4 linked regions of the Lonchura striata genome follow. The protein of the gene in region 4 purifies or fractionates together with the protein of the main gene of each other region. This does not show direct contact. Links are inferred from orthologs where the notes say so. Each region holds a gene or a part of one and is shown on either strand. Other genes may lie near its edges.

Evidence for each region. The genes of interacting proteins can lie anywhere in the genome.
Region 1: the proteins of CCT5 (region 4) and DCAF7 purify together in Homo sapiens (affinity purification with mass spectrometry; 4 studies listed by BioGRID and IntAct, counting the BioPlex papers as one, with this or other methods). This does not show direct contact. The link is inferred for Lonchura striata from reciprocal best matches to the Homo sapiens genes CCT5 and DCAF7.
Region 2: the proteins of CCT5 (region 4) and DDB2 purify together in Homo sapiens (co-immunoprecipitation; 3 studies listed by BioGRID and IntAct, with this or other methods). This does not show direct contact. The link is inferred for Lonchura striata from reciprocal best matches to the Homo sapiens genes CCT5 and DDB2.
Region 3: the proteins of CCT5 (region 4) and PDCL3 purify together in Homo sapiens (co-immunoprecipitation; 3 studies listed by BioGRID and IntAct, with this or other methods). This does not show direct contact. The link is inferred for Lonchura striata from reciprocal best matches to the Homo sapiens genes CCT5 and PDCL3.

What each region holds. Positions count from the first base shown.
Region 1 is NC_134627.1:9,009,023-9,016,045, reverse strand, and holds the start of DCAF7 (DDB1- and CUL4-associated factor 7), read left to right. Parts: upstream 1-4,015; 5' UTR 4,016-4,103; coding exon 4,104-4,241; intron 4,242-7,023. Other genes in the region: voltage-gated inwardly rectifying potassium channel KCNH6, read left to right, coding at 965-1,163, 1,513-1,800. UniProt on the Homo sapiens protein: Involved in craniofacial development. Acts upstream of the EDN1 pathway and is required for formation of the upper jaw equivalent, the palatoquadrate. The activity required for EDN1 pathway function differs between the first and second arches.
Region 2 is NC_134608.1:39,083,251-39,090,921, reverse strand, and holds the start of DDB2 (DNA damage-binding protein 2), read right to left. Parts: upstream 3,009-7,671; 5' UTR 2,896-3,008; intron 1,993-2,895; 5' UTR 1,981-1,992; coding exon 1,809-1,980; intron 1-1,808.
Region 3 is NC_134604.1:87,175,661-87,182,599, reverse strand, and holds the start of PDCL3 (phosducin-like protein 3), read right to left. Parts: upstream 3,009-6,939; 5' UTR 2,959-3,008; intron 2,957-2,958; exon of another isoform or gene 2,905-2,956; 5' UTR 2,890-2,904; coding exon 2,884-2,889; intron 763-2,883; coding exon 633-762; intron 1-632. UniProt on the Homo sapiens protein: Acts as a chaperone for the angiogenic VEGF receptor KDR/VEGFR2, increasing its abundance by inhibiting its ubiquitination and degradation.
Region 4 is NC_134603.1:71,666,410-71,673,797, reverse strand, and holds the start of CCT5 (T-complex protein 1 subunit epsilon), read right to left. Parts: upstream 3,004-7,388; 5' UTR 2,932-3,003; coding exon 2,827-2,931; intron 1,881-2,826; coding exon 1,820-1,880; intron 1,726-1,819; coding exon 1,561-1,725; intron 1,061-1,560; coding exon 862-1,060; intron 116-861; coding exon 1-115. Other genes in the region: ATPSCKMT (ATP synthase subunit C lysine N-methyltransferase), read left to right, coding at 3,683-3,949, 5,859-5,996, 6,731-6,781. UniProt on the Homo sapiens protein: Component of the chaperonin-containing T-complex (TRiC), a molecular chaperone complex that assists the folding of actin, tubulin and other proteins upon ATP hydrolysis.

The DNA of each region.
Region 1 (7,023 bases), on a different chromosome or scaffold from region 4:
GGCCTCTAAATAAGAAAAATACATGATTTTTCAAACTGACAGAGAGTAGGCTTAGATTGATTTCTAGGAAAAAGTCCTTCCCTGTGAGGGGGTTGAGACCTGCCACAGGGTGCCCAGAGCAGCTGTGGCTGCCCCATCCCTGAAGTCTTCTATGTCAGGTTGGAAGGGGCTTGGAGCAACCTACTCTAATGGCAGGTGTCCCTGCCCATGGCTGGGGATGGAACTGGATGAGCTTTAAGATCCCTTTCAACCCCAACTGTTCTGTGATTTTTGAAGAAGGAAGAGCCCACACTGGAGGTGCAGGTTTAATGTCCCCAGGCAGCACACATGAGGGGCTGACACTGTGGGTTCTGCTGCCCTTGTTAAGCTCATTTCAGCACACACTTGAATTTAGATGTCTCTTCAGTGCACCATCCTACTGCACTGGGGACAGATCTGCCCACTCTGTCAGTGATGCTGTGACTGTGTCCTGCAAGTGGGACTGTGTTCTGCAAGTGTGGCTGTGCCCACTCCTGCAAGTGCTGCTCACATGGCAGAAAGAATAGACTTCTGCTTTACTGTTTTCTTCTGTTCCTGAGTTAAAAGTGGTTGGCACTAACCTGCCTTGCTCCATCTGTCAGAACAGGCAGCTGGCCTGGAGAATTGATCCAGATTAAAACTAACCATTGCAATCTTTTCCCCCCTCCAGGGTAATTTTAGCTTTTTTCAAATCCCTGCTCCAGATCCCAGTTTGGCTCCACATAAAATTGGGCAGAGGATGATTGAGTGTGGCAGGAGAGAGATGGCAGGATTGATCTCTCTCTGGTAGTGCCGGTTTGAAGCTCTCTAAAAACCTCAACAAGCAGCAGGGAAAGCATCACTGCCCTGGGGTAGCGGGATCGGCACCTCCTCCCAGCGCCTCCCCTGCCCAGCTGCAGGATGCAAAAGGGTTCCCTGCGCTGACGCCAGGCTGCTCTGTCCCCAGGCTGGAGTCCAGGATGTCGTCAGACATTCATATAATCCTGCAGCTCCTGCAGCGCCAGCTGTCCCAAGTGCCACCCGCGTACAGCCCCATCTCGCCGAGCTCCCACAGCCTGGCCATGTACGGCATCGTCCCGCGGAGCCTGGAGCCGCTCGGCCCCTGTGCGCCTCTGCAGGACCAGGAGATGCCGACCCAGGAGCAGGTAAGGTCAGCCCTGCTGGCTCAGCCCCCACCAGGCTCCTTCAGCCCCGAGTTCTCGCCAGGCAAGGCACAGCCAAACACTGATGGGTCCCGCCAAAGCCACGGCGTCTTGCCCTGGGAGCAGATCTGCCCAGTGCACCACTGGTTTTGGGGCACCGCTGCTATCCCCAACGCTGCCAGGCTGCCCATCAGTGGGGAAGGAAGGGGGTTTCTCTGCTCTGAGGCTTTCTCAAGTGAAAAATAACATTTTGGGGCTTGGAGCTGATGAGGCTCCAAGGTTGATGAGGAGAGAGTATGCCTACTTCGTTTTACTTTTACCATCACCCACACAATTCCTCATTTCCCACCAGAGCCCGAGCTACACGGAGGTAGAAAAGTTCCACTTGAAATCCAGGGACTCCTTGTCAAGCGGGATGCAGCTGTCGGTGTCATCCGACAAAACCATGACGGTCTACTCTGAGCAGGAGCACCCCTCGCCACCTCTCCTGAACCCAGAGCCTCCCCACCAAAGGGCACCAAGCGCCCAGGGACTCTTGAGGGGCTCTCGTTTCCCTTCCCTCCCTGAGCACTTGGAGGCATCTTCCGAGCACCAGGACATTCAGAGACACCTCTCCGACCCCGTGCTTCCTGGAAGTTAGAGACGTGGGGGCTGCAGGGCGAGTCAAGAGGAACCTCAGCTGCAGACCCGGTCAGTTGATGTTGGTTTTGACTGCAAGGGTAAAACATTGGACAATGCCATTGGCTCAGGGGTATAATTTGTAGCTATCTTCTGCCACCATGACAGGAAGTATAGAGTGGCTGGCTTCCAAGGCCAATGTTTTCCAGAGGTTCCCAATAGAGTAGATTTCATTTGCACATTAGAGTGAACCTAGAACAGCTCTTACAGCCACCATCGAGCTGGTTAGGCCACGTGGTTCCCACCACCTCCTCCTTGCCAAGGCTTCTTCTCGAGAAGGGCACAAGCCAAGCGAGCCACAGCAACCACAGGAGAGCCGATCCAGGGCTCTGGGCTGCGAGGCTGTGTTGGAATCCTTGGGAGCAGGGAACACTGTGTTGGTACAAGGCTCAGCCCAGCAGAGCCTGCAGGCACTACAGAAGGGTGGTCACCATAGGACTGTGAGATCTCCACGGTGTGGTCCAGGGGAAACTGCAGGTGGCAAGCCCAGGACAAGGACAGAGGACAGAAGTTTGTCCGACTTGATTGCCACTGAGAAGTGAAGGGCCAACATCCCCTGCCACCTCAGCCTGCTTCAGCACGAGTCCCAGAGCACTGACTTCTCCAGCAAGGCTGATCACACCTTGCAAACCCCAACACGCATCCCACAGCTCACCAGGTAACTCCAAGTCGCCACTGGCCTGGGCATAAAGCACAAAATTCAAAAGCACAATCCCAGGAAGCTGAGAAGCCCCAGACACCCCGTGTCCAGTCCTCCCTCCCAGCCTCCCTCTTTTGATAAAGGTTCAATAGGTGCTTCCTCCTGCCCACCCCTTCTCCCGGCAGACTCCGCAGCATTCCCGTAGGAGAAGCCCACGTAGCGCTGCCGCTCGCCACTCGGGTAGATGCTGTGATAGACCTAGACCGCCAGCTCCAGTATTGTATCGAGCTCCCTCTGAGAGTAGTCAAACTGTGAGCATCTCTTTCTCTGGAGTTTTAGTGTACACTTTGCTAATAAAGATGTTTTTGGCACCTAAGGTGAATTACAGCTGTGTTCGTTGGGAGCATCCATGAGTTCATCCCGGGCATCGTCACCCCAAAAAGGCTGTGGTCAAAGCCCGGTGACCTCATCCAAGGAGTGTGGGGCTATGCGCAGTCAGCTCAAGGGTGGAGCCTGCGGAGGCTTCGCCGAGCAATCCCTTCCCAAAAGGACATTTGGAAAACCTTTTCTGCGAGCCCAGGCAGCTGCATACGAGAAATGATCTCTCAACCACAACTCGGGCAGAGCCCAGAGCAGCGGTGCTTGCAGCGGGTAGCCCTGCCAGGAGCACGGCGCTGCCCAGAGCGGCCCCGCAGCGCGCCGAGCGGACACGGAGCTGCGGGGGCTGGAGCCGGGACCGCACATCCCCGACCCCGGCCGGCCGCACAGCCCGCGGCGGGTCCGGCCAGCCTCGCTGCGCCTCGAGCGGCGTGCCGGGCACAGCGAGCAGCTCCCTGGGCAGCCGGCTGCACCCCTTCTGCCAGTACGCGCCAGGGCTGCTCCCAAAAAAGCACCATAATGAACTGCTTGTTAATTAGAGATTAAGCGCGGGCCCGTCCGCCACTCGGCCGAGGCGGGGCTCGAACCCGCGACACACGAGAGCCTGAAGCGGCCCCACCCGCCTCGGGCTGGCGTGACTGACATCGCTTCCAGCCAATCGATCACCGCTAAGGGCCCAAGGTCCCGCCTCCAGTTAATGCGACCCCGGCCAGCCAACAAGATGTCGACAACGAGCGTGCCCGCCCCCCCCGGGCGGGGCCAAGCGCAGCCGTAGGTTACCCCAGCCGGAGTGCGCCCGTCCGTCTGGAGTGAAGGGCCAGACGGCCAATAGAAAGCCGAGGCGGGCTGAGCGCACAGGCAGATCGCCCAATAGGCAGCCGCCGCTCTGAGTGACAGTCGAGACGCCCAACCCGCGCGCAGTGGGCGGCGCTCCCCGCGTGGCTTCCGTTCCCGTTGTGTGAGGGGCCGCGTCCCGCACGGCCTCAGCAGCGCCGCCGCCGCTGCCGGGTCTGGGCCGGCACCGGGGCCGAGCCGTTCCCCGGGGCCGAGCCGCGCCTCCCCGCCGCCCCGAGGGCGAGCCGAGCCTTCCCCGCTCCCCGGCACCCCGGGGGCCGCGCCGTGCCCCGTCCGCTCCTGTCCCGGGGCCGCGCTGAGGCTCCCCCCGGCCCGCGCCGCCTCCCCGCTCCCTCCGGCCGGGTCCCTCCGCAGGCTGCCTGGGCCCGGCCCGCGGCCCCCCCGGCCCAGCCATGTCGCTGCACGGGAAGCGGAAGGAGATCTATAAATACGAGGCGCCCTGGACCGTGTACGCCATGAACTGGAGCGTCCGGCCCGACAAGCGGTTTCGCCTGGCGCTGGGCAGTTTCGTGGAGGAGTACAACAACAAGGTGGGCAGGGTGGGCACAGGGGCTGGGGCAGAACGAGGCTGGGGGAGCGGGGGCGCCTCACGGCCAGAGCGGTCAGGGACCCCCAATGCAGGCCTGGACCACGTCAGGCTGGTCTCTGCTAACCCGGGGTGAGGGACACAGGGAAGAGCCCTGGGGGCTGCTGGTTCTGGGATAACGCTGCTGCAGGCTTCTCGTGACCTCTGATCTTCGGAATTAACGATTGTGTTGGCTTCGATCACATAAGCACCGCGTGCTATGAGTTCTCTGTGATGTAAAGAGCTGGAAACTAAAGGTATGATATGGGTCTGGTTGCTGCTGCTATAGAAATAAAACAATTTCCCCTGGCTTGGGCATATCTGGTTGGGCATATCTGGCTTTTTGCTCAATTTGCACAAAGGAAAGTTTGTGGCCAGTACATATATATGCATATAGCTATAAAGAAGTTCCACCTCAATGTGATGAACTTCTTTCCATGGAGGGTGGCAGAGCAGTGGAACAGGTTGGTCAAGCAGCTTTTGGAGTCTCCCTTTCCTGTGACATTCCAAACCCACCTGGATGTATTCCTGTGTCACTTGATCCAGGTTACTCTGCCTAGAAAGGGGGATTGGACTGGAGAGTTCCCTTCCACTCCCTGTGATGTACAGGGTGTCTGAGACTGTGTTGGGAATGTGCTGTTCTCATGTACTTTCTTGCTGTGGAGGACTTGAGTGTGGTAACTTTTTTCATAACTATATAAACCCCTCTCAGTATTGATTCCTCAGTACTTTTCCCTGAGAACAAGGGTGTAATGAGGCATGAGATTGTATCTTCAGTGTTTCACTGCAAAGTGTGAGTGAAGAATGTCACACCAGTAACAGAGACCAGTTCATCGCTCAGAACACATGTGCAGTCACTTCTGAACACCTTCAAGGTGCTGGCCGGTATAATGAATTACTTAGAAATCAAAGAGAGATGAGAAGATGGATGAAGTTATAGAGCATCCTGAAATTCTTGTGAAACTGAAGGTTTGCCCACAGAGCTTGGTTTATATCATGTAGCTGTGTAGCCTTATCAAGGTGTTTAATGGAGATTGTGGAAAATACAGTCAGAAAGTTGTCTTGGGGACATGCCTCTGTAGAGGTTGTGCTGTACACAGCTGGCTCCTGGCACTGGAGCGCACCGACAGGCCCTGACCAGATGCTTCCCACATTTCCACATCCTCCCAAGCAGTGCCCCAGAGAGAGAGGGTTCAGGGCAGTTCTTCTGCAGGAAGGTCATTTGTTCTCTTAAGATCCTGCACTGCAAAGAAAAATTGATTGAATGCTGGAGATTAATTGGTGCAGTGGCATCTTTCTGATTGTAAAATAATCGTGAAATGTTATTTTAGGTAGTTATAAATTAGACTAAAGTTAAGGAGGTTTTCAAACTACTGTGGACTTACTTCACTGTTCCTCCAACCATATAAGAAAAAGAAGCCGTTACCAAATTCTGCATCATTTAGTTCCGTCTGATTCTTTTGTATCAAGTTAGAGATAGGTTTTTTTTAGAACTTAAGGGATGCTGATTAAAGGTGGTTCTTTACTCGCATGCACTGTTGCAAATATGCTTTATGTTGATAAGTGCTTGGATTATAATATGCTAAAATTAGGTATGGATTTTCCTATATTGAAGTGTTGGAGCGACAAATAAATATTTAGCATTCCTAGCTACTGGCATGGCAAAATCACAAAACTAGTTGAGGCTGAACACGCTGATCCTGGTTTTCTCTCTGGAAAGACTTATAGGGAGATGTAGAATGGTTCAAATTGTATCCAGACTGACAGTTACTTTCCCTTAGGCATTACCTCAGTCTTACCTGGGCTGGACCTCAGGCACTCCTTTGTGCAGCAGCATTCTTGCCTCATGTGCAGAAGGGAGAGAGAGAGGGCTCTGATGTAATTGGCATCCTAGAAATAATTCCATGTTCCATCCCCTCGTGTTCAGCCTGCACGAGAGGCTGAGTGGAGGGGTTCCGTGATGACTGTGTGTGATCAAGTCCCGAGAGAAGAGTCACAGCTCTGAACTTGCAGAGTTTCTCAAGCATTCCTGCTGCTCCCAGCAGGGCAGTGCCTGCCTCCCCCTCGCAGTCACTGCCAGCTGCTCCTGCTCTGGGCGCTGGGCAGGCCCCTGAGCTGCAGCAGCTCTGCTAGTGATAGTACAATTCCTGTTCTCCAGCCTGGCCTGCACCTACACATGGCAAAGATCAGAGCTACTGGATTGCTGAATTGCTTATCTTAAGGTCTGAGGAGGGGTTAAATGTGATTATGCAGTGCAGGAATATTTACATTAACACCAGTGAAAGGGAATCCTTTGCTCTTTGAGATTTGCTTCTGGAGAGGATGTTGATTGTTTTGTGTAGGATTATTACAATCATGTTGAGTGGCAAAAAAACATAAGCAAGGGAGAAATTATTAGAGGTCATTTGTCTTATGATCCTAACCTTGCCATAAAATCTTTTATCACCATGGACAATTTGCTTCCTTTGTAAAATCTGATGAATACTTCTGATCCCTAAAGGAGTTAGAAAGCTATTTGTCAATCACTTCAGAAGTCTGGGAGATTTTTGACTGATTTATACTAGGATATGAAGGATAGTAAGGAGTTGCTATAATAGAGAGGGCAAGACAGGCTGTGTTTCAGTTTTTGGAAGCATATTTGGCTGCATCTTTTTGTTATGAGATGGAAAGGATGGAGCTTCTCATTGTGGAGGGTGGGGCAAGGCTTTGCATTTAAGAGAATCTCTAAATGAGCTCATAAAACTGCA
Region 2 (7,671 bases), on a different chromosome or scaffold from region 4:
GACACACATTAAAAAGAAAACAAACATAGAAGACTGAAAACACGTGGATCATCCTATATGATTACAACCTAAATTAAATCTTTCTTTAATGCAATGATGGAGAAAAGCACACTTCTTTGTTCACATAGTGAGAACACTTGTCACACTTGTTGAAATAGGTACAAAAGTATTTCTATTCTAATTTCTTTTTTTTTTTTTCACTAAAGAATTGGTATCCACAGTTCCTTCTTCAGAGGTGACAGAAATTGAGGTATTTTTTTTCAGATTCTATTTTACAATTAAGGATAGTTTATTAAGAAACAAAGCTTCAGGCCTTTTTAGAATCAGCTGAAAGAAACCCTCTAAAAAGGTGGTTTAATTGTAAGAAATGGAAACTGTCCTATATGGATCAGGAGAAAAAAAAATTCCAAACACAAACAAACTGGAACACAGAATGGGAAATCTCAAATAGAAAGGTCTTCATCTTTTTAAGAAAGGGTTAAGGGAAAATATGATTAGCCTCATTTTTCTGAAGTATCTTACAGGAATGGCAGATTCTTACCAAATACAAAAATCGGGTCACAAAGTTACAATAAAATCATGTAGCTAAATTAACTACAGAAGATGTTTTAACTATCTACAATTATAAACGGAACTCCTTTCAAACAGAGTATTTTGCCTCCACAGTTACTGTTCACTCTGCTAACTCCTCCAAGTTTGGACTTACAGATCACACAATGGAAATGTGCAAAATCATAGAACCCCTGTATCTCTGACTTTTGAAAAAGACTTCAGTAATTTCTGGATCCTTAAGCCAAAATTGTACAGAAAACACATAGTATCTCCACATAAGGCAGTAACCCTAGTGATTTCCTAAACCACTGATGGAATTAAAAGTTATGTCTGAGAAAAGGAGGCTGAGGGGAGACCATATTGCTCTCTACAACCACCTGAAAGGATACTGCAGCAAGAAGGGAGTTGGTCGCTTCTCTCAAGTAACAAGTGAGAGGAAGGACAAAAGGGTCTCCAGTTACACCAGGAGAGGTTCAGATTTGCTATCATGAAAAATTTCTTCACTGAAAGAGTTGTAAACCATTGGATTCTATGATCTTAAAGGTCTTTTTGAACCTAAATAATTCTATGAAATCGCTGTAGGTAAAGTCTGGACAACTTCCTCAATATATGCAAAGCATTAAACTTTCCAGTATATTAGAAATTAATCACAACTCCACATTACATCAAAACTCTTTAAGATTTGGTCTTTCTCATAAGTTAGTCACCAAAGGAAAAAAAATGCACATGAGAAGAAGAAATTAGAGGAAACTCTGTCCTTTATAATCTGAACAGAGGTAGAAAGTATTCATACTTACTGTAGCAAAAGTTAGAACAGGGAAAGAATGGGGTTCAAATACCAGCTCAGACTGGATGCTGTAGGACACCAACACTTAAACTAACAGTTGTATTCAGAATTGCATGAGAGTAAGAATTTATTACCAAGACTGGTCTGTCTGACACTAAAGCAGAGATCTGGTAATACTGGAATTCTATAAAACTTGACCACCCTCAAATGAGCTGTAACAGCATCTTCAGTGCTTCAGGCTTTTATCAAGGGGTACATAGTCTCAAACATTCCTGCATGCACACACATTCACTAGACAAAAACTTGGAGGATGTACTACCCCAACACAAGTCTGCCTATTACTTCAACATCTAACATCATCTGAACACTCATGTCTGAACATGATTCTTGGCATTCTTTCTCTTCAACTAGTAAATGCCTGTCATTTGCAGTAAATCTGGTAGGGAGAAAGAATCTGAGGAAATATTACCGATTTTCCCTGAGGGTCTAGATGCTTTTCTCACAAACAACTTCTTTTCTTGTTTCTCATTCCCTCGTTCTCCATAGTCCCGTTTCCTCTTCCCAGCTGATTTTGCTTCTTCTGGCCAATGCTGACATGCCCTCTCACGCTTCTTGTCCTTTGGCTGGTTTACTGGAGCCATTCTGCCTGACCACTGAAAGCAAGCAAAGCATGGAAGGTAAGACTGTCATACACTTCTAACCAGAGGACAGAGAGGAAAAGTGGAATGGAACATATCCCAGTTAGTCCGAACGTAGTGATTAGATGTGTATCCTCTTTCATTGGGATGACACTAGCTTTTTGTTGTTCTCTACTGAAGAGAGGAACAGGTTCAATAAAATCTTCTTTGTTCACATATGAAAATGAATGTATCCTAGAGCACTAGAATATGTTTTGACAGATGTGCCTCTACTAGACTTTTAAGCCTGAAACCCACAGATCTGCATAAAGTACATCTGTGAAACCACATAATCCCCTAACTGTTTCTCTGGTAGCTCACACTGAGCTCTTTAGATTCAGCTAAGCAAAAGGTCAGAATTTTTATGATGATGGCCAGGGCTGACTGGCCTTGCAACAAATGGGCTCAGAAGGTACTTCCTGCATAGTGGCCACTTTTCCTCACAACCACCACCTGGTATTTGGATTCAGCTCGTGCACAGCCTGGCAGCCACACCGGAACTGCTCTTCTAACGGCGGTGAGATTCAGCGACTCGTGTCCCGGGTTATGCCGGCCACAACGCCACCAGGCCCCTGAGGAAAAGCACAGGCCTTCCACGGCCTTCTCTGCAGCCAGCGGGCCGTGCGCCAAAGGCCCTCCGCAGCCGCAGCACCTTCCCGCACAGCATCCCTGGGCTGAGCCTGCGCTCACGTTGAGCTCGTTTAGAATTCCTGAATGGCCATCACGGATATCTGTTAAATCCAGCTCGGCGGGCACCGCGCAGGCTCTTGCGCAGGCAGCTGCCGCTTCCGGCACCTCCGGGCACGGCGGGGCCTCCCCTCAGCCCCCGGCGCGGCCCGCGGCCCTCGCGGCCCGGGCGGAAAGCCCCCCCGCTCTCACCTGCGCTCCCGCGGCCTCGGCTCTCCCGGCGCCGCCGCGGCCGGCGGCCGGCACTGGCCCCTCCCCCGCGGTTTCATAACCGGGGCGGGAACGGGGGGCAGCGGCTTCGGCCCGGCCCCCGGAGCGGCACCGATTTCGCCGGCCATGGCGGCCCCCGCCAGCCTTCCCCGCTGAGGGGCAGCGCCATCGACAGGGGTAGGCCGGGGAGGGCTCGGCGTGCTTGTCTAGCCCTAGCCCGCCTCCCCCCCCTACCCCTGCCGGCCTCCCGGCCATCCGCATGAGCAGCGCCTCCGGCCCCCCGGCAGCGACAGGCGGCTGCGAGGGCCGAGCCGGCCTGAAACGCGCGGTCCGTCTGTCTGCCTCTTGTTTATTTGGTGCAGCACGTAAAATCATATGCCCCTCATTAGTTTGTAGAGCACCAAATTGGCCTATTAAAGCCCCAAACACGGCAATCAAAACAAATCAAAACATCATTTCCACAAGAAAACTCACCTGGTGTTGGAACACAACAACAACAGCATCAACACCATCAACAACAAAAGGTGCTTCAAAAGCTGATAACAAAGTCTTGTCGAGAGCAGCTCAGAGAGTACTAGATCCTACATGGTGCAGCTGACAAGAATGGGGAAGGAAGAGCTCTACCAACAGAAAGGGAAGTACCAGCACTTCGCACCTGCAAAGGAGGCTGCTGTCTGCCGGCCGTGGGGAACCTTATCCCTCATCTCTGAAGCAGTGAAGTCCCTGGCTTCAGGCCTAACAGTAACTATGCTGAGTAATTAAGGTACAGTCATCCACACAGGAGGCTATGAACACAGGTTCTGAAATAGCTGTACATAGCCATGCCTTCTGTAGGGTTTGGTTTCACGTGCTACTATTTTTTGCGCTATAACTACAGTTACCTATGGATTTTCTCACATACTAGAAAAGGCACAGAAAAATTCCCCAGAAAAACAACAAACAGTCTCTATGCTCTTTCCCTGAACAGTAACAAAGTTTTATTACTTGCTGTATCAGAATGCCATACACAAAAATGATAATCACTAATACAATCTGGTTTTGGACATATACACCAAACCAATTAGCAAGTCTTAGAGTCTCAACAGGCACTTTTATAATATACAGCTTTTGTCTTAGAACTGTACCCATTAGCAAAAACCAGTGTAACCTACGCATTTCCATCTTGGAGCTATCACAGCATTTTTTAGAAATGAAATAGACTAGAAAAGAGTAGAAAAGGCTATTGCCTGTGGAAGGCACCTACAATGAACATCTAGTCCAACTGCCTGACCAGTTCAGGGCTGACCTAGTCAAAGCCTGGTATTAAGGGCATTGTCCAAATGCCTTTAAAAATTGACAGCTTGGTGCATTCACCACCTCTCTCTAGGAAGATTGTTCCGGTGTTTCACTACCCTCTCTGTAAAGAAATGCTTCCTATTGTCCAGTCTAAGCCTACCCTTTTACAGCTTCAGACCACTCCTATGCATCCTATTACTGGATCCCAGGAGTAGAGATCAGATCTCCCACTACACTTACCCTTCTCAGGAAGCTGTAGGGAGCCATGAGGTCTTCCCTCAGCATGCTTTTCTCCAACCTAGGCAAGCCAGACTCTGGACTCCGGACCAATCGAGGACTTCAACACCACTCTCAAATGTTGAGTCTCAGAACTGCACAAAGTACTCAAGATGAGGTCACATGCTAAATAGAGTGTTTGTGTCAATGACTAACACCAAGTTTGATTTCTCTCTGGAGAATCACGAGATATTTTTGTAATAATTATCCACTAAGGGTAAGAACAACAGACAGTACACAGTTCATGCACAGAAAAATGCCACTGGCCTGATGTCCCACAGCTCAGTGTCTGGATGGTACTCTGAGCAAGAGAAAGACTAATTTGAAAAAATATTCTTTGACGTATTTACAGTGTCTTAGAATTGCAGTATGCAACAAAGAGGAATAGAATTCTGCATGGGCAGGATATTAGGTTTATTTTATTCTGCCAGTTCTCTGATGTACAATTATGCTGAGGTTCTGCCTCAGTTATGGGACATGGTTCTCTCCAACAGAATCACGTTGTCTTATCACTGGATCCGGTGAAGCTATATTGAAACTAAGATCAGTTTCATGGTAGTAATAATACCATTAGGTGTTCTGCCTCCTTGTTTCCAGGACCTTTGTCCAAAGCATGAATAATTTTGCCACCTTAGCTAAATATACAGTTATATACAAATGTATAAATCATATACAAATATATAAATTATATATACTGATGTATATATCATTAGAGCAACTAGAGTTTGCCATGCATATGAAAACAAGCCTATATTCCATGAAAAAGTAAAACAAAATATAAAACCCAAGAGATGAAGGAGTAAATATCATGCTATTTGACCTCCTTCTCTTCCATGGCCATTGTTAAGCTGCCCATACCACGAAAATGAACAAAAAGATCACTATCATTATGGGCTTATTTACGAAAGCACCCTATCTCCCCCAAGCCATTCCAGCCTTGGAGGACAGGATCGCAACAGCCATGCTATTTAATACTCTCACCTTGCAATCAGTATTGGTGGTGGCCAAGTCCCACATGGGCAGTATCTGTCTTAGACATGCTATCTTAGATGCACATGAGATAGCAATCTAGAAATCAGCATGCAAACATAACACCGGGCAAACACTGGATATAGACTATTAATGGATGACAGGAGCTTGCCTTTTCTGACCTTCATTAATGTACATTACTTTGATAACAGAAATCAAAAATGCAGAACTTAATTGAATTAGGGAGTATCTGTGCCAAAGAATAGGGTTCAGTTTTGTTTTAGTAAAAGACAAAGTTGCTTATACTCTCAGCTGTGATTAACTTCAAGGACAAGACAAGCATATTTTTTCACTTTTTACAAGTGACACCCATAGGCAATGACCTGTCATGGGTGTCTACCTTCCAGAGACCCTATGCTGGTAAAGGTGAACAGAGGATTGGTCTCAGAAGAAATTAAGTGGAATGGTTTCTAATGTCCACTTTCTAACACAAAATTTCACTGTATATGAAGGGCATCAGCACAGTTATTTTCTGGTTCTTATGAAATCTAGGGCACTTGGAAAGAAAGGCAAAACACCTAAGTACTGCTGCAGAGAAATGGAAGATTTATGGCATGCTCTTTCCTTTCTTTCTTCTGCAAGGCTCTCAGTCTTTCCTTTTTCCACCAATTGAATAAACATCACTACAAACCCACAGTTGGTCCTTGGAATTATGTCCCAAGTCACTTGGAAGCAGTGACTTCAAGAGAAGGCGGGCCAGCAAGGCCTGGTAGCGCTCCGCCAGCAAGCCCTGGCCCAGGGGATATTGCACTCAGGGATTTAAAAGATGACGTCCAAATTATTCAGATAGACGTTTTCAGAGAAATGGAAGAGTGACTGAAAGCAGTTTGCAAGATCGGGCTGAACGAGAAAGACGGATGCCAAGGTGAACTGATGCCACCCTCTAAGCCCAGGGAGAGTGACCCATGCCACTCTCACACGAGAGACCACAGCACTTCACTTGGGTGGAAATCAGCCTTGGGGAACCTCCTGCTCCAACAGCAGGGGGGCTCCAAGCCCTGCACGTCAGCTGGCCGGTACAGCACACAGATGAACGAACTCACGGACAGGAGCCGAACTCGGGGCTGGGCCGAGTGGGCAGCTCCTCCCAGAGCTGTCTCCCTCCCGACCCCGCCACGAGGGGGATCCCAGCCAGGCCGATTTCCCTCAGTCCCCTCCGCATCCCACAGCTGCAGCCCTTCCCAACGTGGAGGTAGGGGAGAACGACAACGGGAGCCGGCGCTGCCCTCCCGGCACCTCTGCCGACCCCACCTGCCTGGGCAGAGCCCGCTCCCGTTAATTGGATCAAGGGCCGGGCGGCGGGGGCGGGAGGCGGGAGCTGTGCTGGAGCGGCTCCGTCGCTGCCATCGGAGCAGCCCGAGCGCGGGCCCGCCCCGCGGGAGCCGCTGGAGGCGGGGCGGGACCCCCGAGTCCCGCGGCTGAAGTAGGGGGAGGGCTCAGCCGGCCCCTCCCCGAGGTGGCCGCTGCCCGCTGAGCGTCCCGCCGCGCCGCCTGCGAGGTAAGCGGCGGGCTCGCTGCTGTGGGCTTCGCTCCGCGGGCCCGCCGCCTTTTCGGACCTGTGCCCTGCGGGGTGCTGGGGGTCCTGGCGGCGGAGCCCGTCCCGGTCCCGGCGCCGCCTTCCCGCGGCGAGCAGCGTGTCTCGGGACGCGCTGGCAACTGCGAGGGAAAAGTTTCCTCATGGAAAGGGGGCGGGTGGGGGAGGCGGTACCCGGCTGGGCGCTGGCTGTGGGCAGGAGGGGACTGGGAGGCGGCTCGGCGCGGTTCGTCTGGAGGCGCAGCGGAGACCCCCGGTAGGTGCGGGAGCGGCGGCGTGCGGTGCTGGGAAGGGCGGCGGGGCTGTGGTCCCGGCGGGTTGGTCGCGAGGGGCTGGGGAAGCTCTTGCCGGAGTTTCACTGCCTTCGCGTCCCTAAGCTTCGCCGGGTGCCCCGCCGCCGGCCTCCTGGGGCCGGCCCGCTGCCACCGCCCCGTCACTGGGGGCTGCCGAGGCGTTCCCTCCCTCCCTCCCTCCGGAGCCCGCGCCTCCGCTCCGCCGCGGGGACAGGGGCCTCTTTGTGCCGGATCCGCGCAGAGCCGCTTCCCACTCTGAAACCGGAGCCGCGGGCGCTGGCAGCGCTGTGCAGAGTGGGGATAAAGCGGCTTCCCAGGACCCCCCGGGAAAGGGGCCGCGCCGGGGCCCGT
Region 3 (6,939 bases), on a different chromosome or scaffold from region 4:
GTTGGGACTTCAGTGATCCTTGTGGGTCCCTTCCAACTCAGGATATTCTATGGTTCTATTCTAGGATTCTAAAAAGTCCCTCCCCAGCTCTTTTTTCAGTCCCTTTGCCCCTGAGCCTTCTCCACTCCAGGCTAGCTACCCCAGCTTTCTCAACCTGTCATTATTACTCCTACTGGATTGTTAGGAAGTGCTATGTGCTTTAGACATACACATGAAAAGAATATGATGGAAAAGGCCTCTGAGCTGAAGGCTGCCTAGACTAGCACCCAACTACCTGCACAAGCTTTCAAGCTTTGCAGCTGCAGCACAGCCATGCACATTCACCTAGCAGACTCCCTTTGCACTGTGCTTCAGTTTCTAAACATTTACTTCCATAAAAATACAGAGCTCATAAGAAGAACAAAGCTTTAATGTGCTGGAAGAATCCATGTGTTCAGGAATGCATTTGTTTGATACCATTAACAGCTGATCATCCTGCACAGCTGAAGCTTTGGTATCCCCACAGACCCGGAAAATGACACATTGCTTTACAGGCTTATAAATATTGATGCTGGTCATTTCTTTGAGAAAGCTTCCCCCAGGAGCCATTCCAAGGCTTGTTCTGCTGCTGCCTGAGTTGGCTGGTCACTCACCCAGAGATTTCTGAAGGATGGCAAACTGCTCCTCTTCCTTTGCCCGTTCCTGTTCCTCCAGGTTTTCCTTTGGAGGAAGGATACCTTTCTTGCGCAGAATGTCATTCCACTCCGTGTCTTTATTTGGATCCTAGAACAGGACAACACATGGGTATTTCTTCAAGGTGAACTTTACAGAAGTTCGGAATTTAACACAGCTGCTAAACTGGTAACTGGACGGATGGTGCCAGAAAATCACAGTGCAAATCCTCCTGACCTTGAGGCTTCTTTCCAGCCCCAGACCTGCAGCACCCTGAAGACTGACTTTGTTTTATTCCATCACACTCACAGCACATAGAGGAGGTCTTGGCTGGGTACCAAAGTTTGAAGCATTGTAACCACTGCTGCATCTCTCACAAAGTGCAATGAAAGGAGAGGGTATTAGCTGGGTGACACAGAAGCATGCTAGCCAGAGAGCTTCCTTATAGACTCTCAGCAGGACAGGCCACCAAACCAATGGTCACTGCATCAGGAAGCACTAGTGACAAGACACACACAGGGACAAACCTTACAGACCTAGCTCTCAGTACATGGGAAGTCTCCTTGCTATATTCAAGTCAGAGTGACTATGTAAGTGCTTAGAGAAAAGCAAGCCATCTCTGTCAGCCAAGACCATTGCTAAGGATTCAGATCTAAGTCTATAGCTAGACTATTCCTGAGATTTTTCTGTAAAATAGTTGCAATAATCCTGCAAAACAAGGTCAACACACCCCTATGTATTGTTGAAAAGCTGAGTAGCTGAGTATATGCTTTTCCTATTTAGCAGGCAATTTTATTTTTTTAAATACAAGAAATCTCGGTGATAAACACCCACAGGTTGATTGTGCTTCCTTGCTATCTTGGCCTAGGAACTTTAGAAACTGAGCATACATACTGCTTTGCTATAGCCCGCTTCAGTACACCTTACAGCAGGTCTGTTCACAGCCATATAACCCTATACCTTCGACTAAGCCCCAGTACTTACGGACTATCGGGGACAGGAAGGGAGGGGTAGGGGGCAGAAGGGGAGAAGAAACATAAGAAAATAAAGAAAAAGAACAACGTAGCTCAGCAAACACAACACTAGATATCTTCACCCCCTTCTCTGACGGCGGTCACCTTTCCCTCGACCCCGCATTTACTATCATTTATTATCACACTGATGCAGTGCCTGAAACGCCGACCGCTCACTACAGTAGTGCAATGAGTACCGTAGCTGCAAAAAAAGCAACACACTGCCACAAACCCAGCCACGGAGCTCCCGAACAACACCGCCGGGAACAGCCCCGAACAACACCCAGCTCTGCCCCGAGGGCGGCTCGGCCCTCGGCCGCCGGGGGGCTCGGCTCTCACACGGCCGGGAGCGGGGCTCGGCTCTGGGCCGCCGGGGGGCTCGGCTCTCACACGGCCGGGAGCGGGGCTCGGCTCTGGGCCGCCGGCGGGGCTCGGCTCTCACACGGCCGGGAGCGGGGCTCGGCTCTGGGCCGCCGGCGGGGCTCGGCTCTCACACGGCCGGGAGCGGGGCTCGGCTCTGGGCCGCCGGCGGGGCTCGGCCCGCGGCCGCCGGGGGGCTCGGCTCTCACACGGCCGGGAGCGGGGCTCGGCTCTGGGCCGCCGGGGGGCTCGGCTCTCGGCCGCCGGGGGGCTCGGCTCTCACACGGCCGGGAGCGGGGCTCGGCTCTGGGCCGCCGGCGGGGCTCGGCCCTCGGCCGCCGGGGGGCTCGGCTCTCACACGGCCGGGAGCGGGGCTCGGCTCTCGGCCGCCGGGGGGCTCGGCTCTCACACGGCCGGGAGCGGGGCTCGGCCCGCGGCCGCCGGGGGGCTCGGCTCTGGGCCGCCGGCGGGGCTCGGCTCTGGGCCGCCGGCGGGGCTCGGCTCTGGGCCGCCGGCGGGGCTCGGCTCTGGGCCGCCGGCGGGGCTCGGCTCTGGGCCGCCGGCGGGGCTCGGCTCTGGGCCGCCGGCGGGGCTCGGCTCTCGGCCGCCGGCGGGGCTCGGCTCTGGGCCGCCGGAGGGGCTCGGCTCTGGGCCGCCGGCGGGGCTCGGCTCTGGGCCGCCGGAGGGGCTCGGCTCTGGGCCGCCGGCGGGGCTCGGCCCTCGGCCGCCGGCGGGGCTCGGCCCTCGGCCGCCGGCGGGGCTCGGCCCTCGGCCGCCGGCGGGGCTCGGCTCTGGGCCGCCGGCGGGGCTCGGCCCGCACACGGCCGGGCGCGGGCCGCGGGGCACGGCGGCTGCTCACCTGCATGGTGCCGGCGGGGCCAGGCCGAGCCGGGCCGGGCAGGGCCGGGCCGGGCAGGGCCGGGGCAGCGGCGCCGGGCCGGGCCGGGCAGGGCCGGGGCAGGGGCGCCGGGCAGGGCCGGGCAGGGCCGGTCCCGGCGTGCGCGGCGCGGCCGGAGGAGGCGGCGCTGCCGGCGGGGCGGGCCCGGCGCCGCCGCTGCCCGCGCCGCCTAATAAGGATGGGCCCGGCGGTGGGAAGGGTGACGGAGTAGTTTGGGTTGAACGGCGTGTGAAGATCGTAAATCGCCCTGCCGCGGGGATTCACGCCTTCCCGTAAACCAGGTTGCTGCAAGCCCCGTCCAGCCTGACACAGAGTAACCACGCTTGAGCAGGGACGTTGGGCAGGCGACTCCCTGTGGTCCCTTCCAGTCTCTCTCTGCGATTCCCTGTAACTTTTGTTTCCACTGACCCTTTTTTAGCTGTTTGTATTTCATACCCTCTTTTATTTCCCCACTTGTTAATCTTCGTTTTTTCTTTCCCTAATCTGCTAATAAAATAAAATAAGCAATCAAGCCTGTATTATCTATTCTTATTAGGCACAATCAGCTTTAATACTTGTAGTATTATTAGGATTGGATCATAGCCAACTGGTATTACCAGAAATTTGTCTCTTGATAGTTACTTTTATTTCAGTTTTGAGTCTATGTTAAAGTGTCACTCAGAAAACACTGAAAAGAGTGTTGCATGTGGTGACCCAAATCCGTTTGGGATCCCACCCTATTCCATACTGTTATAAATGAAGTTCTATATGTCTAATTTAATAAACAACAAAATTGAATTTAGCAGCAATTTTAATTGAACTCAAATTTTTTAGAAATTAATACAATCAAGTATGCTCAATATAATCAAGCATATACAAAAAAAAAATTGGGAGTGACTAATTAAGTATGATTAAGGTTCATATAAAGCATAAGCAAAACCAACTGGGGTACAGGGAGGGCTTCTCACCCTGTCTCACGTATGAAACAAAGGAATCCAAACTAAACTTATGTACTGTATGCCAATACATATTCATCAATATTTTTCTGTAAATCTCCTCCTATTTTTGATTCTTGAAATCTATGTCACTACACTGCATGGTGCTCCTCTTGTTGTTAGGGGGTCTCCTGGCTTTTTGGTGGTCTTTTCAGAGGAAGGCTTGCTGTCTTCCTCACTGTCCTCTGAATAACCTTACAGGTTGCACGCATGCACTAAGCTTTGTGCTATATAAGTAAGCATTATATTCCAAATCAGTCGTATTATTTCATAGATAAAACCACAACTTAGATTCCATATCTGGGATCATCCCAACTTTGCTCATCCCAAGGCTGATTCTGCTTTGGGAATCATCCCAACTTTGTTCATCCCAAGGCCAATTCTGTTTTGGGATCTTGCTTATCTCAATACTACATCCTGTATCCTGTTTTTCACACCTAACATCCATGAAGGGGCCCATCTGCTTTTCCTCTATTACTTTATAACAATTATTGATATAGTTACAATTTAGTTAGCATGAATCATATCCCTTTATCACAATACAAACAGGCACCTAGACCTGCCCTTTTGAAGAACTGAGCAGATCTTTTCAGCTTTCTTTTCCAAGAGACATAGCAGAGGGAAGAGACCTGCTCCTGCCTCCCTTCCCCTCCTTTTATGCTCTAGCCCAATGGACAGCATGCTTACCCAGATCTCAGTCCCCATGAAAGAGCCCTAAAGAACCTGCCAGCAGGTCTTAAGAGTGTGTTTAAGCATGTGGAGCAAGGACTGTCTCGGCTCTGGCAAGGGCCTGAAATGAAAATTTAGAAGCCCCACTTCCACATGTATAAGATTGTGGGCATCCCATTAACAGCCAGTTATTCTGGAGTGGGCTGGCCACTTTCTCTGAGCTAAGTCTGGGTTGCTGAAGGGAAGGCACAGGCACCTTTTCTGTCTCTGAATTAGAAGAAATGGACAGCTGTGCTTTGAGAGGACATCAGTCCTTATGGTGAGCATTTGGACGTGCAGAGGGTACCCCATACTGGCTGTTCAATGCCCTGAGGTGGCAGGAAACTCAACCTCACTCAGCTTAGACTAAATGCTCATCCGTGTAAGAAAAGTGGGTGGGTGCCACAAATGCAGATGCTGTGAAGCTGTGACCCACATCTGGTGTCTGACAGGCAGAACCAAAGGCTGAACTGTTCATGACAGTTTTGTTGTCTGAGTGTTTTGCCAGAGCCTGGCTTCTGGGAGTACCCTCTGGTTTAAATAGTCATCTTCTGTGGCTGAAATACCATTCACACCCAAGGCTCTTGTATGTTGCTGGTTGGAAACTCCTTTGAATGCCAGAAAACAAACACAAAAAGAGCATGAGCAAGAAGTGAGCACTCATTTCTTTAAAGGCTGCTCAAAAATATTCCTTTACCTGAGGTGAGGTTTTTGCTCAGGCGAAAGAAGAGGAACTAGCCAAGCACCCTCAGCACCAGAACCACAATAAACTCCGAGCCTCATCTGGGACAGACTTACCAGAAAAGGGAGCAGCCCCATCACATCATTTGGTGGGGCTCAGACACAATGTGAACCAAGCATGACTCTACTCAGGACACATCTAAAGCAAAACACAGTTTTCTCTTCCCACCCAACTAAAAATATATTTACAAAGCCCATTTTTCCTATGTACTTTCTAAAGCAAGCTTCAGCAGAAAAAAAGAAAGGCTATTTTTACACATAGCACGCAGACAGAAATACTCCAGCTAGAGTAAGTGAGAACTGGCAGTGTCATAGTGAGGCTGAAATGTAGCTATGGTTCAGCCCTTGCAGACAGCCTGCCTTCTTCCCCCTCACCCCAGCCAATTTGCTTCTGAGCAGCTGTAATGTATTTCTTCTTTTTGCCCCAAATCAGGGATTAGGTGAAGGAAGATGAAGCATGTGTGTAAATGACTCATTAATTATCCAGGTGATGCAGTGATGAGAACAAAAAGTTAGTAATAAAAAGGTTCTGAGCCTGGGGTTGAGGTGTTATGTGGCTTGTTTGTGCTTGAGTGTAGATTGTAGTAAGGTACAGACTAGGACAAAATAAGAATTTTTGAAGGTAATGTGATGTACTTTTAATTTATGATGCATTGGGGAAGATTTGGGGTTGTGGACTTCATGTTATTTTGTAAGATAGCTGCCTGTATTACACAGTATGACTGTACTGTGAATAATTTAGAAAAAGTATTGTCTGGTAATAGGGATAAGGAGTTATAAGGAAGGACTTTGTTTGCTTGGATTTTATTAGGAGCTGGGTTTTTTAACTTTTACTATTTTTTCACATTCTTTTCAAAGCTCATTCTGATTTTTCTTAAATAATTAAATCTCTTAGTAAAACCCCTACATGTTAATGTAGTGATGGGTGTTTTTGTATGTTGTAGCCAGGTGTACTGGAAGTTAACCAGCCCCATTTACTTATAGACTAGAAATGTTATAAATAAGTAGTTTTGCTACTCCAGTTGCAAGAATGTCCTAGCTGGGCTGAATTTCCTTTGTCATGAGGTGGTAATTTCTGTTCTTCCGTCTGCATAGTGCTGTCCAAATAAGTTTATCCTTTTCTTGGTACAGAAGACCTCCAGTAGTATTCTCAAATAAGCCAGAGAATACCATTTAGGGAATTAATTTAAAGCCATATGAAATGTGTGAAAAAGTCCTGAAGTATTTTGGATATAACAAGATGTAGGCTGCAAGAATTTTTCCATTTTTAGATTTGAAATGGAGGGAAGTTGTTACTCGATAGTAGAAGTTGTAATGCAGATTGCTCTTGAAGGAAGAGACAGGCCTCAAGTTAGCTTTGAGGTAACAGTTGTGGTGTTTAAAAAAAATCTTGCTGAAGAAAACCCACTGTGCCTCAACCCTAAATACATTCCAAGTAGCAGGGGAAGCTTGTCTTCTTTTGAGCCCTTCATATCTAACTTCAATAACCCTTGACAGGTTTTGCAATGAGATCCTTCTCCAAAAAGGCAGGCTGTAAAAGGGCAATAACTGTTAAAATTTTAGCTCTGCTGTTGATGAACTGTGGTGTGCGGTG
Region 4 (7,388 bases):
CACTTTGCCTTGCACTTTGATCAGCTCAAAATCAACATCTTTACGTTCCATGTCTGCTACTGTCAGTACAGCATTCACCGCAATCTCTGCCATTTGCCTGTGACAGCGGTTCACTCTAGGTTTGAAGAAAATACAGTCATGTTGTACTCCATTTCCACCATTTGGAAGAAAAAGGTGATTCCATCAATAGATGTTAAACAGCAAGAAGTACCACTACAGCAATCAACTTCTGCACACAATATTAAAAGAGGGGCTCCTGCTTGTTTGTTCACAGAAACAGAGGGTGCTGGCTATGTCAGAAAACCGAACACACAGCGTGGTTGGTGTGAGGAACCTTTGCCAATGGAGTCTCAATAGAGATTTGGAAAAAGTCAGGAGAACTAAATGACTAAAAAACATTCAAGAAACAGAAACCATGTGTAAAACAACTCTGCAAGGAAAGCCCTTCCAGTGTCTAAATTTATGAACTACACAGAGAACCCATAAAGGAAAATGAACTTTTGGAACCATCTTAAGTGAATTTTTTTTAGTGGAAAAAAAACCCCTAAGATGACATGTTGTTATTTTTAACAGATTCAGATTACTTTTGGAACCCGCTATGATGCAGAAACCTGGAACTAACAGGTTAGAATGAAAATGATGCTGCAGCTATTTAATTTCATGGAAATGACCCTTTGGAGATGAAGGAGTCACAATTTCTTATCCGGGGACAGGAGTCCATGGAGGAATTAGCTAAACCAAAACACAGAAGAGCCTTCAGCAGCACTCCAATAACACAAACACCAGGATTTCTCCTTTCCATGCAGAGGGTTTTCAATGGAAGGGTAAATATTCATTCAATATTCAGGTTTTATGACTTACACTTTAGAGCCCAGAGTTGTCTTTGCTGTCTGGATCAGAGGCTCAATGTTCTGTGGATCAACTGGGAAGCTGTCACTGATTTTGTCTAGATGCTCAATAGCAATGCGTGCTGCCTGCTCATAACCATCTGCTATTCTGATGGGGTGAATGCCTCGGTCTAGCAACTGCTCAGCCTGTTCCAGTAATGCCCCAGCCAGAACTATAAAAAAAAAAAAAAAAAAGTTTTATTCTTGATTGGAGCATAATTTTAAGTATATTAACAACCGATTAAAAACCATATTTTCTGTTTTTTCTGCAGTATTTTAAGAGTTCAAGGTTTCCTAAATAACAAAAAAACCACAAAAACCTCTACTTGCTCTGCTTAGCAAGAGAACCACATTATGTTAAGACCAAAATGAAGCACAGGCATCAAGGCAAGACAAGGAGACTACATAAGAAAAATATGCAAAACAATTCTTTGAAAGTATCAAAGGGGCTCTCAGCACTACCTTAAAATGGAACCAGACTTCAAAAAAATACAAAAGATTCTTCCCGATTAGAAGACTTCTCATACAAGAACTGACAGGAATACTGCAACAATAAATACTCCAAAGAAGTGCTACAGAAAAGCTACTGCTATTTCTCACAATTTTTTAAAATAGCTGAAGCAACTTGATTTTAAACTTGAAAAGGGAAGCTAAATTTAAAACGCTCTCTTACCAACGACTCCAGTAGTTCCATCCCCAATCTCATCATCTTGAGATTTAGCCAGCTCCACCATAAGTTTGGCTATCTGGTGATCCACATCCATCATATTCAGGATTGTAGCACCATCATTTGTCACAGTCACCTCACCATCCTTGTCCACCATCATTTTATCCAAGCCTAAAAAACATATGTTCAAAGGATTAAGGAAAATTTTGAAAATTCCCCCACAACAATTATTAAAAGAGAAATACTAAAAGTTTTTCATTGTTACCATTGGGCCCAAGGGACGTTCTCAGAGTACTTGCTACAGCCTTTGCTGCCATTATGTGAGACTGTAAAACACAGCATAACAAAGACAGAAGTTAAATCATTACCACGCATTCCAGGAAAACACAGCAAGTAGTGCAAATGTTGTAATTTAACTGACAACAACTATTGCTTGTATTGCTTGTGCTGGCTCTGCTAAAGCACGCAAAAGCAGAGCACCCAAATGACAGCCCTAACGCTCAAAGCAGGGAGCAACAGAGGCCGGCAACGCTAAAAAGAGAAGGCAGTGCAATTTTACCCATCATAGAATCATCACAGAATGGTTTTGCTTGGAAGGGACTTTGAAGACCATCCAGGTCCCACCGCCTGTCAGAGGCAGAACACCTTCCACTAGACCAGATTGCTCAGTGCCCCATACAACCTTCCCCTGAACACTTCCAGGAATGGGGCATCCACCACCTCTCTCTTCCAGTGTCCACTCCCTTCTTCCGTCGGGATTTAGACCACCCGCACTCAGCCCCAGCCTTTCTTCGACAGCCGAGCTTCAGGAGGCGGTCTAAGGGAGGGGGCGTGGGGGGCTGGGCAGGAGCACGGGAGGGCCGCGGTGCCCCACGGGGTGCCGGCCCCACGGCCCGCAGCTCGGGGGCGGACCCACGCCGTGCCGCGGGTCCCCAGCCCCGGGGCGATGCTTTCTCTCTTCCTCCACCCCTCCCCCGCTTACGGGCCCAGTCCAGGCTCCATCCGCCCTGCGCCTCGGGCGGGGCTGGCGCCGAGCGCGGCAGCGCCTCGCCCCAGGGGCTCCATCCTCCCGCTGCTCGCAGCAGCACGGCACGGCACGGTATGGTACGGTACGGCACGGCACGGCACGGTATGGTACGGTACGGCACGGCACGGCACGGTATGGTACGGTACACCACAGCATGGCACAGCATGGCACAGCATGGCGCGGCGCGGCGCGGCCTAACCAGCGCGGGCCCGCGGGCGGCCCCGGCAGCCGCCCCGCTCGCTCACCTTGAGCGCCTCCAAGCCCATGAGGCGCGTCTTGCGCTCTTGGTCCTTCAGGATGAGGAAGGGCCGCCCATACTCGTCAAACGCCAGAGTCCCCATGGCCGACATGGCTGCTCCGCCAGCTCCGACCGCCGCCGCCCGCGCGCGCGCACTTCCCAGGAGCCGCCGCGCCCGCCGCGCGCCGCCCCGCGCCTGCGCGAACGCTGCGCCTCGCCGAATGCCGCGGGCGGGAGCTTTGGGGCGCCGCCAGCCGAGCCTTCTGGAAGCCGCCGGCGCCGGGGGAGGAGCGCGGCTCGCGGGCGGGGAGGGAAGGGGGGAGGATGTGCCGAGTGGGGCGGAGTACGGGCGCCGGGTGACGTGAGGGCGGAGGAGGGAAGGCAGACGGACGGTGGAAAAGCGTGCGCGGCGCTTCTCTCCGGGGTGCCTTCGGAAAGGTTTCGGCCCCGCACCCCTTCGCAGTGAAGTGGTGCTGCCCTTCCCGGTAGCGGTGCGGGCCGGGCGTGAGGCTGGGGTGTTCGCTGTCGAGGCGGGGTGTGGCTGTGTCCTAGGGAAGCGTTGCCCCGCACGGGAGGAGCAGTGACTCCGGCGCTGTCCCGGCGGCAGGACGGTCCCTGCCTGCCCGCCCTGGAGCTGTCCGGGGCGATCCCTGCCTGCCCGCCCGCCTGTGGGGGCCCGGCGTTTAAATGGGAACCGCGTTCCTGCCCTCTCGTGCCTCAGCTTTTCAGACGCTGTAGCGTTTCCTTGGGGTTGGCTGAAGTGTAGGGTGGTTTTTTCCATCTCTTTACGCGGTAGCTCTTCGCTACAAGACGCTGATTTGTCTGAAATGAGCGAACACGCTGTCTGTCCGTCCGCAGGAGGGATGTCCCGGGCGCTGGCGAAGGAGGTCCCGCAGGAGGAGGGCGAGGGCGGCTCCCGCAGGAGCAGCTGGGGGCTGCTGGCCGCGGCCGGTCTGGGAGGGACCCTGGTGGCCCTCTATGCTGTAGCCACCCCCTTCGTGACCCCGGCCCTGAGGAAGGTGTGCCTGCCCTTCGTTCCTGCCACCGCCGCTCAGATCCAGAACGTGCTGAAGATGTTGGAAAACAGAAGTGGCTCCCTAGTTGACATTGGTAGCGGAGATGGCCGTATTGTAAGTTATGGATGTTGCCTCTTAAAAAAATGCCGAAGTGCTGGAGCTGCGTTTTCTCACACTTAAAAATGTCTTGTCTTTGGCAGCCACTGGTTGTCTCTGAGTCTCACGGAAAGTATCAAATCTGAGAAAGGTTTACATTCAGTTTTGATGAGTAATAAATAGTTTTGCTGCAGTCTTACCTGTAGCTTGACAAAGGTAGTGGACAAAATGTCATCGTGTCGACTGGAGGGAATCACAGTGCATTCATTTGACAAGAAGCTATCAGAGTCTTGGTGCTGATTGACAAAGAGCTGTGATTCCACAAAGGTGTGTAGCTGCAGCAAGTGAAGCTGTGAGATGTTTAATGTATAAAGGTGATAGAAGTGTAAAAAGAAATGGGCAATGAGCGATGGATTATAAAAATAAAAATCCTGATATCGTTAGAACTGTAGTCTTCAAACTTTTGTGGACTGCTGGCTTCCCCACTTCCAAATCCATGTGGTGAAACTAGAATAAACACCAAGAGAAATTGTGAGAATCATGAAAGAAAAAGTGATTCTGCGTTTCCAGGGTATTGCTTGAGCCCCAGTTTGTGAAATATGATGAGGATATAGTGGCAAATTGTGTTTTAGTTTTTCTTTTGTTGCTATGACATTTTGTGTCATTTGTAACTAACTTGTGTCATGTGTGTCATTTGCTGGACATTTTGTTTTTTTGTAACTATCTGCTTCAAGTCAGATTTGCCAGCAGGGTGGTAATTTTTGATGCAAACACATGAGTTCTTGAATGCTACCTTTGTCCATGTTTTATGTGAATGAGTCAACTGTTTGTCCACCTAAGAAAAAAATTGATTTGGAACCCCATGTCTGTGAAGATTGCTTGAATTGTGCCTGGGTATGAAAAAGACCAAAAAACTTAGGCATGAGATAACTGAAGTTTCTGATGCCTTTCTGGCTGCTGACTCTGATCAGAGGTATTTAATTTTAATAGGCACTGTGTCATTGATTCTGATATGTAGGTGCCCAAATGGAAACTGAAGACTATTTGGAAAGCCAGGTGAATGCTTGGTGCTTCCTTGATGCATCTTTCCTGACAAAGCCTGTTCAAATGCTTTTAATTATTTAGCACTTACTCAGGTGGATAAATATGAAGATATTTACCACACTTCCAAGTCTGGTAAAAATGTCAGATTCTTTTGGTGAATTTTCAAGTGCTCTGTGTGTGATGGAAGATTAATTATTTTGACAGTGTGAAATACATGGTCTAGGTAAAGCTGTTTGAGAAGTTCTGTTAAGAAATGTGTGCTTTCTGAATTCACCTTGCTTGTTTTGTAATTGATAGTTCATCAGGTGATTGCTGATTAGAAGTTTGCTCTAGTCTTTTAAATTATGTCTTAAACCTTTATTCTAGAAATCAGTGCATTTTTTGATTTTTTTTTCAGTGTAGATTAAGATTGCTTTCACACTCTTTCTATTAGTATGTCATTTTAGCTCTGATGGAGGAGCTGCTCAAGTGCCTATCCCTCACTGCTTTTCAAATAAGTGGTCTAATTTTGAGTGTTTTTGCTTGTGAGTTTCACTGTTCTCTCTGTGATCAATGTTGGTTCTCTCTAATTCCAAGACACTGTAATGAATGTGTTAAATTAAACTTTTATATGGATCATAGATGTATTGCAAGCTCACAGCTTTGCTCTGTGAATATTTGTTTTCATTTTGTTTGCCTAACTATATTTCAGTTGGACTAGTAATAATAGCAAAAAGTAGTTTTGAGTTTTTGTTCACTATACAGCTGATGTGTTGGGCATTAAACCCAGGGTGACTTAGGAAAGTGCTTTCCTTTGATTTATATTTTAAATGAAACTGTGAGCTTCTCTTTAGGTGAATTGATTTTTATGTTTCAAAGTGAAGATTTATTTTCTTCCTTGAAGGTGATAGCAGCTGCAAAAAAGGGATTCCAGGCTGTTGGTTATGAATTGAATCCCTGGCTAGTCTGGTACTCCAGATATCGTGCCTGGAGAGATGGAGTACATCAGAACACCAAATTTCATATTTCAGACTTATGGAAGGTGGGTGGTGAATTATATAAGAATGGATCTGGGATGATTGAGAGATTTATAAGTTTGGAAATACTTTCCTGAAAAAGCTGAAATGCTGTCTGACTTCAAGATGCTGTACTGGACTTTGAGCAAAGTACTTGTGCTGGGAATCTGGTTTCTTTGGGCTCAGTATGCTGTTCTGCTGCTTTTGTGCTTTATTCAAGTGCTTCCTTTATCAGTAGCAGTTCCTTGAGCAATCCTGCACCTGATGAATTATGTGGGAGGGGTTTTTTTTGGGCTGTGGAGGTTTGTGTTCAGAGAGAAACATAAGAAAACTTCACGGCACTGAGTGGAAGAACTTTATCATTACAATGCCTAGGAAATTTTTATAGCCAGCTGACATTTAAAAGAAGAAGGGGCAAACTTAAAGCATACATGATTTTATCATATACAAGAGTTGTGAAAATAACCCTTTTGTTATTAGTAAAGTCATGTAGGTATTTTCTAAATGAATGCTTTCTGTGCTTCTAGAATTGCTATTCCATATTCTTGGCCAGACAGTAGAAGTTTTTTGCTGTTTGGCAGTATAAAGTTTTCTTTATGTGGAAATTCTTGTGATGAAAAGTTGGTAAGGGATCTCCTTACATATTTTTGATTTAAATCCCTGTTGAAAGAAGTGCAGCTAGAGGAATTAGGAGAAAAGGATGATGAAAGTTTCTCTAAGTGCCATTTTCAGTAAGTTTTGTTCTCAATTTTTATTTTAGGTTTCTTTTTCCCATTATAGAAATGTTGTTGTTTTTGGAGTACCTCAAATGGTAAGCTTGCTATTTTTTTTTCTTTATTACTGTATTTTATTTATTATACTGTTAAATTATTGTTACAATGTTTATTTATTTTAATGCCAAGGCATTCAGTGTTAATACATTAATCTGCAAAATGAATCAAGCTACAGATAGTCAAAGGTAGTCAGTAATAATTGTAGAATATTAAGGGTTGGAAGGGACCTTAAACATCAAGTCCCAACCCCCCTGTGCATGGGATACCTCCCACTAGACCAGGTTGCTCAAGGCCTTATCCAGCCTGGCTTTGAGCGCTGCCAGGGTTGGGACATCCAGTTCCTGGGCAACCTGTTCCAGTATCTTACCACTCTCACAGTAAAGAATTTCTTCCTAATGTTTAACCTAAATTTCCCCTTTCAGTTTTTTTTTTTTCCATTCTCCATTGTCCTATCCTGATGAAGCAACCCTCTCCAGCTTCATCAGGAGATTTCTCCCTGTAGGCTCCCTTCTGACACTGGAAGGTTGCTATGAGGTCTGCATGCAACCTTCTCTTCTCTAGTTCCAGCTCCTCTGCCATGAGCAGGGACACTTGACTAGACCAGGTTCCTCAGAGCTCCATCCAACCTTATTTGAACAATTCCAT